3 linked regions of the Ovis aries genome follow. The protein of the gene in region 1 interacts with the protein of each later gene in a pairwise test. Links are inferred from orthologs where the notes say so. Each region holds a gene or a part of one and is shown in the gene's direction. Other genes may lie near its edges. The genes, in order: THAP1, TRIM26 and A-kinase anchor protein 17A.

The links.
Region 2: the proteins of THAP1 (region 1) and TRIM26 interact in binary tests that used the Homo sapiens proteins (3 or more experiments, as listed by UniProt). The two-hybrid records come from large-scale screens. The link is inferred for Ovis aries from reciprocal best matches to the Homo sapiens genes THAP1 and TRIM26.
Region 3: the proteins of THAP1 (region 1) and A-kinase anchor protein 17A interact in binary tests that used the Homo sapiens proteins (3 or more experiments, as listed by UniProt). The two-hybrid records come from large-scale screens. The link is inferred for Ovis aries from reciprocal best matches to the Homo sapiens genes THAP1 and AKAP17A.

What each region holds. Positions count from the first base shown.
Region 1 is NC_056079.1:36,884,486-36,889,801, reverse strand, and holds part of THAP1 (THAP domain-containing protein 1), read left to right. Parts: intron 1-2,896; coding exon 2,897-3,092; intron 3,093-4,052; coding exon 4,053-4,427; 3' UTR 4,428-5,316. UniProt on the Homo sapiens protein: DNA-binding transcription regulator that regulates endothelial cell proliferation and G1/S cell-cycle progression.
Region 2 is NC_056073.1:27,805,372-27,811,160, forward strand, and holds part of TRIM26 (tripartite motif-containing protein 26), read left to right. Parts: intron 1-1,477; 5' UTR 1,478-1,527; coding exon 1,528-1,965; intron 1,966-2,129; coding exon 2,130-2,225; intron 2,226-3,472; coding exon 3,473-3,703; intron 3,704-5,789.
Region 3 is NC_082741.1:867,336-873,576, forward strand, and holds the start of A-kinase anchor protein 17A, read left to right. Parts: upstream 1-2,638; 5' UTR 2,639-3,501; coding exon 3,502-3,635; intron 3,636-4,263; coding exon 4,264-5,041; intron 5,042-5,616; coding exon 5,617-5,765; intron 5,766-6,241. UniProt on the Homo sapiens protein: Splice factor regulating alternative splice site selection for certain mRNA precursors. Mediates regulation of pre-mRNA splicing in a PKA-dependent manner.

The sequences.
Region 1 (5,316 bases):
GTCTTTCCCAGTATCAGGATCTTTTCCAGTCAGCTCTTCACATCATGTGAGCAAAGTATTGGAGCTTCAGCTTCAGTACCTTCCAGTGAATATTGAGGGTTGATTTCCTTTACTATTGATTGGTTTGATATCCTAGTCCAAGGGACTCTCAAGAGTCTTCTCCAACACCACAGTTCAAAGGCATCAATTCTTCAGCGCTCATCCTTCTTTATGGTCCAACTCTCACATCCACAAGACTGCTACAAAAACCATAGGTTTGACTAGACGGACCTTTGTCGGCAAAGGGATGTCTCTGCCTTTTTATATATTGTCTAGGTTTTGTCATGGCTTTTTTTCCAGGGAGCAAGCATCTATTTTTTCACACCTTTTAATTTCATGGCTGCAGTCACCATCCACAGTGATTTTGGAGCCCAAGAAAATAAAATCTGCCACGATTTCCTTTTTTTTTTTTTTGCGTCTTCTATTTGCCATGAAGTGATGGGACCAGATGCCATGATCTTAGTTTTTGAATGCTGTTTTAAATTAGCTTTTTCACTCTCCTCTTTCACCTTCCTCAAGAGGCTTTTTAGTTTCTCTTCACATTCTGCCATTAGGGTGGTATTATCTGCATTATCTGAGGTTGATATTTCTCCTGGCAGTCTTGATCGCAGCTTGTGATTCATCCAGCCTGACATTTCACATGATGTATTCTGTATATAAGTCAAATAAGCAGGGTGACAGTATAACTCCTTTTCCAGTTTTGAACCAGTCAGTTGTTCCATGTCCAGCTCTAACTGTTGCTTCTTGACCTGCATACAGGTTTCTCTGGCGGCAGGAAAGTCTGGTGGTCTGGTATTCCCATCTCTTTGAAAATTTTCCACAGTTTGTTGTGATCCACACATCCACACATTTATAGGTAAATAATTACTAAAGCAAAATCTTAAATTTGGGGGGAATAAGGACCTTCCATGTTTAACAGTGAATGTGGGTGCATTTTTATACATTTGGTATGAGAACAAAAATCAGAGTGTGTAGGGTATAGAGAGATCTTGAGAATGTTGATTTTTTTTCCCCCTTCTAAGAAACAGAACACTTAACACTTCTAATGTTGCCTCTTGATTGATTAGAATTTCTGAAAGCTAATGGGGGAACTCCAGCAGTTCCAATGTGAAGGAACAGATCTGGAGATGGTGACGTGATCACAGACTTTCAGCTCCCCCCCCCCCCAGCCCCATTTCTAACGATGTGGCTGAGGGAATACAGACATAAGGAAAACCCTTCACTGGCACTGGTTAAGGATGACGTTCACACGTTTCAGAAATACGGAGTTTCTCCTGCGGTTAAATAATTGATTTGACCAAAAGAAGAGCTAATCTGCATCTTATCCCTTATCTAAAAGAACAATTTTGGGAAGGCTCTTGACCTCAGAAATAAGCTGCATTGTAATCCTTGGTCAGGAGGCCCTGGGTGTTGAGTTTCCCAGCAGTTGCTGCTGTGTCTACTTCTAGAGGCACTTCCAGCAGGAACATTCTAGGAGTCTTTCTCAGCTTCTACATGGTAGTGGGAACAGATGTTCTGGGCAAAGAGAAGGGTAGATTAGGGCTCCACGACCATAGCAGAGTCAGGCTCGAGCGTATCTCACTTCGTAGAGAAACTGGGACACAGAGTCGAAACACCCTTTTTTGGCTTTTTTTCAATCCCCCCCAACTCACTGAATCTTTTACCTGGAAAAATAAAATAAGTTTAAAAGCTTCGTATCTCTCTTTATCTGGGCCTAATGGATGTATTTCAGTCAATTAGGTAAATTAAAATGAATACTTTTTTTCCTTATCATTATGATTTGGCTACAGTTTGATTCATATTTGTCAAGATGATTCTCAAGAAAACAAAAAGCTTCTTTGTCTCGGTACATAGTTATAAACGTGCAGTTTTGTTTTACAGTACACAGAGGATCACTGGTAAAAAAAATAATAATAATAATACAAATTCAGTCTATACCATGTGTATTTTACCCCAGATTTTAGTGTCTTCAGTATAAAAAGTTAAGCATTAAAGACTGAGATAGGTGGATGGTGGAGCTATATGGTTTACCCTTGTATCTTAGATGTGTCTGTTTGCGAAGGTTATTTACTGCAAAAGAGGGGAAAACATCACATGGGCCCTTGAACCTACCCTCCTATCACCTGCTCTGCCAGCTGCGTGCATCTGTCCACGTGGCTGCCTTTTAATAAGTATGTTTTTGCATAATGTAAATCCTAATGAGCCTGACGTATTTAGATTGTATACATCATTATATCTGACATTCTTACAACTGCTTTGTGATCAATAAGATTCTTATAAGAAATCCTGGTTTAAAAAAAAAAATACCATGCTAGGAGGGGTGACTTATTTTTCACACTAGTGATGCTCACTTTAGTTACAGGATTTTAAAACAAGTCCATTTTTTAAAAAGTTTACTTTAGGTATAGTTGATTTACAGTGTTTCGTTGGTTTCTGCTGTACACCAAAGTGATTCAGTTATACACAGCTCTGCATTTTTTTCCCATGTTCTTTTCCATTTGGGTTTATCTCAGGATTTTGACTACGGTTCACTGTGCTACACGGTAGGACCTTGTTGTTTATCCCTTCTCGTATGTAACTCCAAACTCTCAGTCCCGCTCTTCCCCACTCCCCTCCTCCTTGGCAACCACAGGCTTGTTCTCTATGTCCACACAAGTACATCCGTAACATCTAGGGTGATAAGGGTACACCTGAAAAACTGTCGAAAAAGGATTAGTGGGAGCAGGTGTGTTAAGCAAACGCCTGTGGCGTGTGAACACCGGTGGTTGTAAGCTAATTCTTCTCTAAGCAGGAACGCCTGGGTGTGCCTTTTTGTTTCTGAGTAAGGCTAGAAAACGGAATCATTTCATCTTCTTAGGTTTCCTCTTACTCGACCCAGTCTTTGTAAGAAATGGGAGGCAGCTGTCAGAAGGAAAAACTTTAAGCCCACCAAGTACAGCAGCATCTGCTCGGACCACTTTACCCCGGACTGCTTTAAGCGGGAGTGCAACAACAAGCTGCTGAAAGAGGATGCTGTCCCCACGATATTTCTGTGTACCGAGCCGCACGACAAGGTGAGGGGCGTGTAAAGTACTGGGCGGGTCTCTTTCCATAAAGTTAATGTGTTCAATGGAAAATCTGGAAAAGCCACAGTAGTGTTAAGAATATAAATGTTACCTGGAACCCATCCCTTGTAAATGACCCCTGTTCACAGCAAAATACTTCAAAAAATACAGAGTGTTTAGTAAAGTTAAATATTCTCACACTAAGACACTTCAGCCTAGCTTTTAACTTACTTTAAGATCAGTCTGTATTCCTGCTTGTGTGTTTATGTAGCCCACCAGGATCCTCTATCCATGGGATTCTGCAACCCAGGAGTGGGTTGCCATTTCCTTCTCCAGGGGATCTTCCTGACCCAAGGATTGAACCCACGTCTCTTAGATCTCCTGCGTAAGCAAGCAGGTTCTTTACCACTAGCACCACCTGGAAAGCCCCATGTTCCTGCTTGAAAGTGAAAGTGAAGTGGCTCAGTGTCCGACTCTTCGCGACCCCATGGACTGTAGCCTATCAGGCTTCTCCGTCCATGGGATTTTCCAGGCAAGAGTGCTGGAGTGGATTGCCATTTCCTTCTCCAGGGGATCTTCCCTACCCAGGAATCGAACCCAGGTCTCCCGCATTGCAGGCAGATGCTTTACTGTCTGAGCCACCAGGGAATCCTGGTGTTCCTGCTTATATGTTGATAAGTTTTGATTTTCCTTTATGATGATAGTTAACTTTCAGAGTATTTTCCCCCTCAGTTTTCAGTGCTAGTGTTTAATTAGATCCGATTAATCATTTTGTCTTTTTTGCATCCCATTTCTACTTCAGGTAAAAAAGGAAAATTAAAACTTCTTTTCATTTTAGACTGTTTCTATGCCAAGGAGGCAGAACTAAGTCTAACATTCTTATATTGCACAGGTGCAGAATTTAGTGTGTTCTTTTAATCTGTTACTTTTAATAATGAAGCTCAAACACGCTCTGCGTCTTTGTTCCAGAAGGAAGATCTCCTGGAGCCACAGGAACAGCCCCCGCCGCCTCCTTTAACGCCCCCCATTTCCCAGGTTGATGCTGCGATCGGGTTGCTCATGCCTCCTCTTCAGACCCCCGATAACCTCTCCGTCTTCTGTGACCACAACTACACCGTGGAGGACACCATGCACCAGCGGAAGAGGATCCACCAGCTGGAGCAGCAAGTGGAGAAGCTCCGGAAGAAGCTCAAGACTGCACAGCAGCGGTGCCGCAGACAGGAGAGGCAGCTGGAGAAGCTGAAGGAGGTGGTGCACTTCCAGAAGGAGAAGGACGGCGCCTCCGAGAGGGGCTACGTCATTCTCCCCAATGACTACTTCGAGATAGTCGAAGTCCCCGCGTGAAAACGTGAGATTTGTATTGGTTTTTCATGGGGCAATACCACCTACCCTCTTCTACCCTAGAGAGGAGCTTCATTTGAAAAGAGATTACACTTGATAACTTGTACAAAAGCAATTCAGAATATTTTTTTAAAAGAATAAATTAGATATATACTGTAAAACTGTAAATTTTTTGTTTGTAATTTCAGGGTTTTTACATTTTAGCAAAATATTTTAAAAGTGATAAACTAACCTCAGAGCTTCAGTGTCAGTTGGTTTCAAGATTGGGGATTTTTGTTTTTCAATTCAAGTATTTATAGACACGATATGAAAATAAAAAGTAAGGAGAATGAGAACAGTGCAGTAAGGATGATTTAAGTTTCAAGTTAAAAAAATTTAGTGCAGTTTATTGAAAGAACTTCATCACGTTTTAAATCAGAAGCATAGGACATGATGTCTCAGAATATATATATTTACACATTCTTATTTGTAAAGTTGACAGATTAATTTACCTTAATCCCTTATCAGAGTTAACTTGGCAAGTTGTGTCATTCCATACCTAATCATAATGGTTAAATTATGTTAAAGAAGGAATTTTTTTGAAGAGTGGGGCCCTTCCTTTCTCACCCCCATCCAGCATTATAGAGTTAGAAGTGTGTCTCCAGGGGAAGACACACTCTCCAGTAAGCACACTGTACATCGTTACCAGTGAGCTGAGCAGCGGCCACTGGGGCTGACCCCGGGCTCACCTTTTCTCTCACTGCTCTGAGCTCGGGCGTCCGGTCCCCACTGGAGGTGTGTGCACCCACCCAGGTCTCTGCCAGCTGGGTCGTGTGGGCAGAGTGTGACTCATTGCATCAGGTGGGAATCTTGCCCTTGACGAATTGATTGTCAAGACATCACACAAAAGACA
Region 2 (5,789 bases), on another chromosome or scaffold:
GTATTTCTGTGTTGTTTTCTCTTTGGGGCTTTATTTCTAGCTCATTCATGTCAGTACATGAAAGAAATTGAAGGCCACTGAACTCTGTTGTAATGGACTTTCACATACATAATAAGTAATCAGATTGATTTGCCTGTGGTTCCAAGGGCTTCATTCCAGCCTGGCAGTTATCTGTGTGCCCTGTCTACTGGCTGTCTTCCCAGAGACTGCTCCGGTGGCCTACCATGGGTCTCTCCACGAGACTTTAACTTGGAGCCCATGTGTCACCGTGGCGTTTCATCCTTACTTCCTCTCTTGCTGCCACTTTAAATTTCCAGTCTTGCTTTACTTGTGCTTTGAATACTCACTGGATTTGGGAGCCAAGGGTTCTGGATTCTCTTCTAGATTCCCCCTCAATATCACGCTTATGCCTAATACTTCTAGCATAATTCTTTTACTCAATCCATGTAGGAACCCCTTGAAGGTAAGTATGACTCTCCCCATTTTATGGATGGATAAACTGAGGCTCAGAGTACTTAAATGAGTTTTTTCTTGTCACACAGTGTAAGGGCAGGAGGCAGCTGTTGCTTTAGGTGTGCTGAGGCTCCTAACCTCAGACAGGAGGTGTGCCAAGGCTGCGGAGGTAAACAGAACTAAAGTCCTCTGTGCTCAACTTATGTGTTCCCTCTGAGGGCCACGCTGTCATCCACACATCCCTGTCAGAGCCACCTGAAGGTTCCTCCCACGTTGGTTTCAGTCACCCGTGTTAGCAGTAGAGCGGCCAGGCCAGCTGCGTGGAGGGGCACAGCTGAGAACGAGTCCATTGTGGCCCGGCAGTGCTCTGCCAGCAGACTGAGTCTAGGTAGGGACCACCTCTCTGGGGCAAGTGAACCCAGTCAAAAACTCACACAGCCCAAGGAAACATCTATAAAGGAGGACACCGGAACTCAACCTCCTGATGCTCCTTGAGTCTCGGTAAAGAACCTCAGTGCACTTAGTCTTTGCAACCTGAAGTCTGCAGGGCAAACAGAGGAGTCTCTTGACTCTGTCAAGGCCCCTCATGAACAGTTGTGCAGGCTATGTGCAGCAAAGTCAGGGAGCACTGTGCACATAGTAGGTGTTGTGGATTTGTATATTATGACAGTTCAGCAGGTAGTTATCTGGGGTCTTGTTCTCATAATCGCTACATTAGAGCAATTTTCCAGCAGATGGAAGGACAGGGTCTGGAGGTAGGAGTGTGTTCCCAAGAGTACGGCATGGGCTGGTACCTGCGCTACTCTCCCTTCTTCCAAGCTACACACTCTGGGCCTCAGTTTCCTCATCTGTAAAATGAGGGCATTGGACTTGAGGATCAGTAAGGTCCTTTCCCTCTGATTCTGGGGGAGCCTCATAGGAGCTGCGATTGACTGGTCGGTTGCTTGGGCACGCAGCCCCATGTGCGGCTGCCACTCCCGCCCCTCTGCTGGGCCTGCTGTTGACTCCATGTCTGGTCCCCAAGGAGGAGAAGTCCCAGCCGGTGAACAGGGGCCCCTCTGAGCTCGGGATACCATGGCCGCGTCGGCACCGCTGCGGAGTCTGGAAGAGGAGGTGACCTGCTCCATCTGCCTCGATTACCTGCGGGACCCAGTGACCATTGACTGTGGCCACGTCTTCTGCCGCAGCTGTACCGCTGACATCCGCCCCATCTCAGGGGGCCGCCCTGCCTGCCCCCTGTGCAAGAAGCCTTTTAAGAAGGAGAATATCCGGCCGGTGTGGCAGCTGGCCAGCCTGGTGGAGAACATTGAGCGGCTGAAGGTGGACGGGGGCCGGCAGCCGGGGGAGGCGGCCCAGGAGCAGGCGGAGGCGAGGCTGTGCGAGCGGCACCGGGAGAAGCTGCATTACTTCTGCGAGGACGACGGCAAGCTGCTGTGCGTCATGTGCCGGGAGTCCCGCGAGCACAGGCCGCACTCGGCCGTCCTGGTGGAGAAGGCGGCCCAGCCCCACAGGGTAAGCCCTCCGCTCCCCCGCAGGGAGGGAAGCTCTGCTCGGCGCCCACCCGCAGGCGAGGCCTCGCGCAGGCCCCTCGGAAGGCTTCTCGCTGGCCCGGGACTCGGCCCGAGCCCACCCTCCTGCCTCAGCCCAGAGCATCCCCACTGCTTGTCTTTCTGCAGGAAAAAATCCTGAACCACCTGAGTACCCTAAGGAGAGACAGAGACAAAATTCAGGGCTTTCAGGCCAAGGGCGAAGCTGATATCCTGGCTGCGCTGGTAAGTGAGGCTGTCGAGGGAGAGAGCCCTGAGGCAGGCAATCGGCTGTGCAGAGCAGGAGCTCTTGAGCTTGTAGAGACACAGCTGGGCGGCCACTGGCTCCCTGGGAGAGGAGCCCTGACCGGACTGGCAGTGGGAGACCTGGGTTTTGGCCCACGCCCTGCCAGTCTGAGGTCTGCAGGCTTGGCCTGCTTCCTCATCTCGCAAGTGAAGGGGTTGCCTGGATGTCGGCTAAGGTCCTTCTTCTGTGATTCACCTCAGCTGCAGGGCCTGTTTGCTCAGCAGAGTCAGGGTGTGAGGAACTGAGGAAGGCCTGGCTTCATGCTTCCTTTCAAAGAGCGGGAGAGAGACATGATTCCTGCGAGTGAGGGGAGCCAGAGGGTTTGGAAGGCGGGAACTGGCTCCAAGAGGAGAACTGAGAGGAGTGGGCTTGGCCGGGCCTGACCAGCTGTGAGGACGCTGTGTGTAGTGAGTCCATGGTTGCCTGTAGTTAGGAAACAGAGACAGCGCATAGAGTGCTTGGTTAGAGAGGCGATCAGGAAGGGAAAAAACTGATAAAGATTCCAGTTTTCTGGGGCAAAGTCTGTTGGGGAAGCGGGCACTGGAGGGTGGAGGGATGTTGGGGCCAGTCCATGCGGTGAGCTCATGGGCCCCGGGAGAGGGACGGGGAGGCAGGACATGGCCCAACCCGAGCAGTGCCTTCAGGCGCCCTGTGTGCAAGGATGCTGACCAGGTCCCAGCCTGGACTCAGCAGGAAGATTGGGAGACAAGAAAGGACATGGTCCCGGTCGTAGACCTTCCAGAGTTTCACTGAGGAAAGAGGAGATAGTGGCAAGGATAGTATGCACGTATTTTACACATGCTGGGGAGGATGCTGAAGAGAGGGTTAGTTAGGCTTGAATAAAATTAATCAAGGGAAACGTCCTGGAAGAGGCAGCACACACCAGTTGGAAACTGTTGGCTCATAGTGTCCTCAGAGGGCCCTGGAACATACTGGTTTACCTAGAACAGCTGATGGTAGGCACTCATGCTTCCAGTCCCGTGAGGGGACTGACCTGGCTGACTTACCTTGTCTTCCCTGAGGAAAGGAGGTTGCCCCAGGAAGGCTCCAAGCCCCTTCCAGCCTGGACACTGTAGAACTCATGAATGGGGTCAGCGAGGGCGAAGAGCCAGCGTGTGCACCCCACGCCGGATCCCGGAGGGGAGGGCGGCAGTGCCACCCCCTTCTCCCCCTTCCCTCCCTGCAGAAGAAGCTCCAGGACCAGAGGCAGTGCATCGTGGCTGAGTTTGAGCAGGGTCACCAGTTCCTGAGGGAGCGGGAGCAGCACCTGCTGGGCCAGCTGGCGAAGCTGGAGCAGGAGCTCACAGAGGGCAGGGAGAAGTTCAAGACCAGGGGCGTCGGGGAGCTTGCCCGGCTGGCGCAGGTCATCTCCGAGCTGGAGGGCAAGGTGCAGCAGCCGGCTGCGGAGCTCATGCAGGTGAGAGACCTCCCCGGGGCAGGGAGCCGGGAGACCAGGACGGCGGGCATGGCCCTGCCTCTCCCTCAGGGGACCTTGGAGAGTCTTTTCTTCCCCGGGCCTCCGTGTTCTCATCTGAAGCATGGAGACGATGCTCCTTATCCCCACCACTCACTGCAGCGATTGCATGAGCGTAAAATGAGACCGTTGGCACGGTGTCCCTTCAAAAAGTAAATCTATGAGCAAGAGTTTATAGTCTTAAGAAGTGCTGTAGAAATGGAAGAGAAGCTTATTAGTATTTTCATTACTATCCTCCATTCTCATTACTGCCGGCACGAGCCTGTCTTCCAAAGTCACTGGCAGATGCTGGTCCGGGGAGGCTTTTTATGGTTCTGGAGATGAAGAAGCCTGTGGGGTCGGGGGTGGCTGAGGGATGGCTGAAGGGCGGCTTCTCTTAAGAACCCAGAGGATCTGGAGGAGATGGGCAGCTGGGGAAGAGAGTCAGAAGACAGAAGTTTTCTCTGAGCCTGTGGCATCAGCCTCAGAGAATCGGGTGGCAAGCAGGCAGGGTGCCTCTAGGGCACCTGCTGGAGGAGGCAGCTTTGATGCTGAAAAAGGGAGGGTCATGGATTGGAATCAAGGATGGTTGCTAAGTTGAAATGACACCACGACCCCCTCCACCGGGAGCCTCCCAAAGGAGTCACACTGCCTTCAACAGGGCTTTGAACTGCCTTTGGGTGGAACATGTGTGATCCCTCAGTCTCCCGCCCCACAGGCCAGGAGAAGGCCTGTATAATGAGCTCCTCCACTTGCATGGTGAGGGGTGGCTGGGACCACCCAGGACGTCTAGGGAAACGTTGGCCCTGGCCCATGGCAGGGCAAGCCGGTTGCGGGACCTCGGGGGAGATGGTGAGGCCCCCAGGTAGGTGTGCCGCACAGGTGGCCTCTGCCTGCCTCTCTGTCATTGTGGATTCTGACTCAAGCTTTGGGAACTCTTCCGCTCCAGCCCTCAGTGATGAAGTCTCAGAGCACCAGAGGGTGGAAGAGTTCGTCCCAGGCCATGGGGCAGATCAGGAAGTGAGTCAGAGCTCCAGCCCGGGCGTCCTGACTCCCAGGCCTCCGGCCTCTTGCTCTTCTTTTCTCTCACTTTGTCCAGAATGTCTGTCTGGCTCCTTCCTTTCCTCCTCTGTCATTCTGTTCCCTCAGGTTTGTCTCTCTGACTAGGTCACTTGCTGTCTCCCCTCTCCCTCTCTCCCTCCCCTTCAGGGGTGCACATCCTTCCTCTCCCCGCAGCCGCCAGCCCCTGCCACAGTGTGGGTGGGCACTTGTAGAACAGAGGGGCACAGCTAGGGTGCTGGGGGGCGGGGATCCGGTTGCGTCTGCCCAGAGGGGAGCTTCTCCCCAGTCTATCTGGAAGAGCTTTGTGGACCGACAGAGGCCCAGCCTTCAGAGCCTCTGAGACCACTCAGATAGAGGGCACCCCTGGGGCTGGGTGGGAGGAGAGAGGGAGAGAAAGTGGGTGTCTGCTGGAGGTCAGCGCGGGAGTGTGGCACTGGTGGGTTTTGTCGGTGTCTGTTTGGGTCTGCCTTTGCTGAAGGGAATTGGACAGCTAACTCCTGCCCTGGTGTTAGTATTTCTCCAGAGATTGACTGTCAGTGGACAGTAAGGATGAGGCCCTACTAAGATGGGAGTCCTGATGCAAAATGTGGTAGAGAAATACAGGTGAGGGACAAGCAGCAGGACAGGAGATAAATACAAGGCCTTTTGACAGAGGTGATAGAACAGGAACGATCTCTTGAGCAGCGCTGTCAGGAGGAGGTTTAAGGGAGCTGGGGGAGTGGGGAGCACCTCGAGGGTACCAAGAACCAGCTCCTTGGTTCAGTCCAGGGTGGGCCTTGTAGGGTCGAGTGGCAATTGGCGACTCTGCCTTCCACTGTTGGGCACCATCCACACCCATGAAGAACCTTCGGATTCTTACTACCCAGCATTGCTGTGATTCCTGCCCCAGGCTTGCTGCTCTGACTGCCTCTTTCACCACAGCCCCAGGAGCTGGAGGTGGTGCGGGAGGCCTCCGGGAGCCATGGGCAGGTTGCTTCCCTGTGGAGCC
Region 3 (6,241 bases), on another chromosome or scaffold:
GTCTTGCTCGTCCCCAAGAAAAGTGAGTATCTCATGTCTTAATTCGCTTTGCTTGGTACTTGGCAGTTTCCAAATTTAACAGGTCCCCAGGGATACATTTTTGCCTGAAAAATCTCACGAACAGAGGAGCCTGGTGGGGGCTACAGTCCAAAGGGCCACAAACAGCTGGACACGACTGAGCAGTGGGTGCCCATTTCCTTCTCCAGGGGATCTTTCTGACCCAGGAATTGAACCCAGGTCTCCTGCATTGCAGGCAGATTCTTTACCAACTGAGTTATGAGGGAAGCCATTTTATTTATACCATAAAATGACCTAAATGTATGGAGAAGGCAGTGGCACCCCACTCCAGTACTCTTTTGCCTGGAAAATCCCATGGACGGAGGAACCTGATGGGCTGCAATCCATTGGGTTGCTAAGAGTCGGACACGACTGAGCGACTTCACTTTCACTTTTCAGTTTCATGCACTGGAGAAGGAAATGGCAACCCACGCCACTGTTCTTGCCTGGAGAATCCCAGGGACGGGGGAGCCTGGTGGGCTGCCGTCTCTGGGGTCACACAGAGTCGGACACGAGTGAAGCGACTCAGCAGCAGTATCAGCAGCAGACCTAACTGTATTATTATGCATAAGATAAATATTACAGGTAAAGTTATACAAAAGGTCATTATTTTTGAAATCGATTATATATAACGTGGGTGGCATAGTGGTAAAGAACCCACCTTCCAATGCAGGGGACACAAGACACACAGGTTTCACCCCTGGGTCAACAGGATCTCCTAGCGAAGAGAATGGCAACCCACTGCAGTACTCTCGCCTGAAGAATCCCACGGACAGAAGAGCTTGGCAGGCTACAGTCTATGGGCTCGCAAAGAGTCAGACACAACTCAGCAACTGAGAACACAGATATATAACACAGAAAGCACATTATATATTTATATTTACATTTTATATATTAAGCAATTTAAAATAATAAAATGCACAGATGCATATCAAAAATATAAAATAATAATTATGCAATTTCTGTTACTTTCCGACATCCTTAAAAGTAAGCATGGAACATCAATGTTAAAATGTAAAAAGTTTCAATAGTAAAATACTAGATGTTTATACTAACACTATATTACTTAAGTGAGTGTAGTTACATTACGGGAGGTGAAAGTCGCTCCGTTGTGTCTGACTCTTTGCGATGCCTATAGCCCACGGGATTCTCCAGGCCAGAATACTGGAGTGGGTATTCATGCCCTTCTCCAGGGGATCTTCCCAACCCAGGGATTGAACCCAGGTGTCTCGCATTGCAGCCGGACTCCTTATCAATGGATCCACCAGGGAAGCCCGTTGCATTATATGTATGCTACATTATAGCATGATATAACAATGTCATACAAGCAATCCATACTCATACGGAATAAAATCAGTAATTAATAAATATACACTTGTCATAGTTCATAACGATATCTCATGTGCGACGCATGACTGTAACAGCAGTGTGCCCCACACAGCCGGCCTGAGTCCCGAGTCCGGTGTCTTCACCCTGGGGCCCCAAGGTGAGGCCTCTGCCTGGACCTGAAAACAGGTGGCAGGGTTGGGGGCGGGGCGGGGCGGGGCGGGGTGGGGGAAGGGCGCGGCGGGCTCGCGCACGCGCACCGCGAAGCCCGGGCCGGCCGGCCCCACCCACCGCCGCCCCGGAAGTCCCGCCTCTTGGGGGGCGGGGCCATGGCCAGGAGGAGAAACCCGGGCCCGCCGCGCGGCCTGCTTCCGCGGGCCCGAGCGGCGGAAGCGGAAATGCGTCACAGGGGCGGGCGGCGGCGGCGGCCGAGGCGGCGGCAGCGGGTCGCGTCGGGGGCGCCTCCGGCGGACGGTGGCGGCGCCGGGCGGGGAGGCCGGGCCTGCCGGCGTCGTCGGGGGCCCGCGGGAGCGCTGGGGCCAGGGCGGCGGCGGCCTGGTACGTGGACGGGGCCCCGCCCGCCGGGCGCCGGGGACCCCGGGGCGTCGGGGGGCCGGGGAGGGCGGCCTCGCGGGGCGGGCGGCCGGGGCGCGGCTCTCCTGGGCCTGCGGGCTTCGGGGGTCGAGAGCCTTCGAGGGGCCTGGGGGCGGGGGGTCTGGGGGTGACGGAGAACCGGCGGCCGGGGGCTGCGGGGGTCTCTTGGGCCTGCGGACTTGGGAGCGGGGGGCCTGGGGACTTGGGGGCGCGGCTTTGGGGGTCGAAAGCCTTTGAGGGCCTGAGGGTGACGGAGTGCCGCGGGCTGGGGTCTGCAGCGGTCTCTCGGGGCGACCGGGGCACGGGGTCTCGTGGGACTGCTGACTTGGGGGCAGGGGCTTCGGGGGTCGAGAGCCTTTGAGGGGCTTGGGGATGACCGGGGGCTGGGGGATGCGGGGGTCTCCCGGGACGGCCGGGGCACGGGTGTCCTGGACCTGCAGACTTGGGAGCAGGGGTCTGGGGGACTTGGGGGTGTGGGCTTTGGGGGTCGAAAGCCTTTGAGGGGCTTGGGGTGACGGACAGCTGGGGGCTGCGGGGGTCTCCCCGGGGTGCGGAGAGTGGGGGGCGTCTTCTGGGAGAGGATTTGGGAGAGGGGACAACGGCGATTGAGCAGAGGAGGGGAGGTCTCCAGGGAGCTGCGGGGTTGGGGCGGGGGGTGGACAGGGTCCCTGCAGGCGAATCGGGGTCCACCAGGGTAAGAGGTAAGCAGGCTGTACTGGGACGGGGAGTGAAGTTAGGGGTTACTGGAGGTTGGAGGGGGTAACCGGGGGCCACAGAGGCGGCTGGGGAGAGAGAAGGCGGGAGTTGGGCCAGTGGGGTGAGCATTTGGAGGGGTGGAGGCGATGGGGATCGTGAGGGGCTGCCAGGGGTGTGTTGACAGGGGTGCAGCGAAGGGGCTGGGGGTCATCCCCAGGGTGCAGGGGCAGCTGGGCGACCAGGGAATATGGGAATCCCCAGGGTTCCTAGTAGGCAGTGGGCTTCCGGAGTCTCTGACTCAAGTTCTCTCTGAGGTCTGGAGGTTTTCTGCGGGTGGAGGGGGGCTGTCGCCACTCTCAGCCCAGGCTGAGCCCCCTCCCTGGTGCCCCAGACCTGGGCCAGGTGGCTCTTCCCTCCAGCTGGGACCCCTCCACCCCCGTCCCTGCAGCTTCTCCTGGGTCTGGGTGTGTGTGTGTGCTGAGCTGTTCAGTCGTGGCTCTCTGTGACCCTGTGGACTATAGCCCACCAGGCTCCTCTGTCCGTGGCTTTCTCCAGGCAAGAATACTGGAGTGGGTTGCCATGCCCTCCTCCAGGGGATCTTCCCGCCCCAGGGATTGAACCCAGGCCTGGTCAGAAGCTCTCAGAGCCATCTGGTGCGCGGGCACACAGCCCAAGGCCCCCTCCATTACTGTTTGCTGTCCGTGGGTCAGGTCTGGCCCTGCTTTGCGGAAGTAGGCACCTGTCTGACCGGTAGGGAGAAGCTGGTTGAGGGGGAGGAGAGCACAGTCAGCTCCCCGTCCGCGGCTTCCCAGAGGCCCCGCGGCTTTGATGGTTTTATCTGGACACAGAGAAAATGCTTCTGCCTGCGGTAGAGATACTGAAGTCAACGGTCTTCAACCATTCTCTCAGCCTGAAAGTTCCTTCCTGTTTCCGCGGGCTTCCTCCGGCACAGACCTTCCCAGGTGCTTGTGTGGGTCGTCCCTTCCCCAGTGAGACGTCTGCAGCCTCCATGGAGGTGGCCTGTCCCCCACATCCCGAGGGCAGGGACCCTGCCCATCTGGGCTCCTGCCAGCCCAGCCCTGGTGGAGATGCCTCTGAGTATTGGGGGCAGCTCAGTGCCCATGGAGGCTTGGGGCAAGCAAGTGTTCCTAAAAGTTTTGAAAACCCAAATTTTTTTCCCCTGCATTTGTGTAATCTGATTAAAAGGGCCCACATGTCAGGGGCTGGGGTTTCCCTGGTGGTTCAGACAGTAAAGCATCTGCCTGCAATGCAGGACACCCAGGTTTGATCCCTGGGTGGGAAAGACCCCCCCTCCTGGAGAAGGGAAGGGCAACCCACTCCAGTATTCTTGCCTGGAGAATTTCAGGAGCAGGGGAGCCTGGTCGGCTACCGTCCGCGGGGTCACAGAGAGTCTGACACGACTGAGCGACTAACCCTGAGGGGCCGAGGGGCCTTCCCTGACGTAGCGACTAGTGTGTCGGGCACGCGGAGGGCAGACGGGCCTCCGTGCCCCGGGCCGCGTGCTGGCCAGCCTGGGGGCGGGGCAGCGGGCCGGCCGTGAACGCGCGGCGTGCGCGTCTTGTGTTTCAGGCCCAAGGTCCCGGCTATGGCTGCGGCCACCATCGTGCACGACACGTCTGAGGCGGTGGAGCTGTGCCCGCTGCACGGCCTGTACCTGAAGCCCATCACGAAGATGACCATCAGCGTGGCGCTGCCGCAGCTGAAGCAGCCGGGCAAGTCCATCTCCAACTGGGAGGTGATGGAGCGGCTCAAGGGCATGGTGCAGCACCACCAGTTCTCCACGCTGCGCATCTCCAAGAGCACCATGGACTTCATCCGCTTCGAGGGCGAGGTGGAGAACAAGAGCCTCGTCAAGTCCTTCCTGGCCTGCCTGGACGGCAAGACCATCAAGCTGAGCGGCTTCTCCGACATCCTCAAGGTGCGCGCCGCGGAGTTCAAGGTCGACTTCCCCACGCGCCACGACTGGGACTCCTTCTTCCGCGACGCCAAGGACATGAACGAGACGCTGCCGGGCGAGCGGCCGGACACCATCCACCTGGAGGGGCTGCCCTGCAAGTGGTTCTCGCTGAAGGAGTCGGGCTCGGAGAAGCCGAGCGAGGAGGTGCTGGTGCGCGTGTTCGAGCGCTTCGGCGAGATCCGCAACGTGGACATCCCCATGCTGGACCCCTACCGCGAGGAGATGACGGGCCGCAACTTCCACACCTTCAGCTTCGGCGGCCACCTCAACTTCGAGGCCTACGTGCAGTACCGCGAGTACGCCGGCTTCATCCAGGCCATGAGCGCGCTGCGCGGCATGAAGCTCATGTTCAAGGGCGAGGACGGCAAGGCTGTGGCCTGCAACATCAAGGTGCGGGGGGTGGGGGGGAGGCGGGGCGGCGGGCTGCGCCCCGAAGGGCCTCCGACATGGGGAGGGCTGCCTGGGCCCCCCACGCGGTGAGCGCACTCTGTGTCTCAGGAAACGTGGGGAGAAGTGGAACACGCTCGCAGCCGCCCTTGAAATGAGGGCGCTGTCCATCATCGCCGCGGACTCTGGCTCGTGCTGGCTCCCCACGTCAGGCTGGCGGAGGAGCCGGGGCCCTCGGGGCGCGAGCTGTGCCCGGGCGCTGGGTGGTGAAGGCAGCTGGCTGCGGAGGGCGGGGGGCGCCCACCGCAGGAGGGGGAAGGAGTCAAGCTCTTGCATGCAGGGCTGGCCTCCGGAGGCCCTGGTGTTTCCGGCAGAAGGGGCCGTCCTGGAAGGGGTGGGGTCCCTGAGCGCTGACTTCGAGCCCTGCCCCGCAGTCCCGAGGTCCCCCCGGTCAAGGGCGTTGGGGGTCCCCGCTCTCTGCGGTGAGTCTGAGGCAGGCCGTCCGGTGAGCACGGGCTTGTCTGCGTGCTCAGGACGGTGCGTGCACCTCCTAACCCTGCCCTGTCCTGCCTCCGAAGGTCTCTTTCGATTCCACCAAACACCTGAGCGATGCCTCCATCAAGAAGCGGCAGCTCGAGAGACAGAAGCTTCAGGAGCTGGAGCAGCAGCGGGAGGAGCAGAAACGGCGGGAGAAGGAGGCAGAGGAGCGCCAGAGAGCTGAGGAGAGGTGCGTGCTGCGGGGCCGGGCTCTGCGGGCCTGGGTGCATGCGTCGGTCCCCTTGGAGACGCAGCGGGACTGCGGGGCTGCGGCCTACCCCCAGGGCACCGCCGGCTTCCCACCCGGCGTTTCGCTGAGCCTTCCTTCTCGCTGAGCCTCCCGGGGCACCGTGCAGCACCCTGCTGACGCGGGCACGGAAGTTTTGTCCAGCTTACAGGTGTTTTGCGTTCAGGCTGAAGCTGCCTTTAAGTGAAGTAGGGAAGTGAGGGTATTGTTGGCCTTTCCCAGCAAGAGCCGTTCAGGAGCCCTGTGAAGTGACACTGAGTCAGGCGTCTTGGCTCAGGACCTCTGTTTCTTGCTTTGACGTTCTGGCGCTAGAGGAAGAGAGCCCGCCTGCCTGCCAGTTCAGTAAGAGAGAGTGCGGGTTCAGTCCCGGGTTGGGGAGATCGCCTGGAGAAGGGAAAGGCGCCCACTGTGGTGTGCTG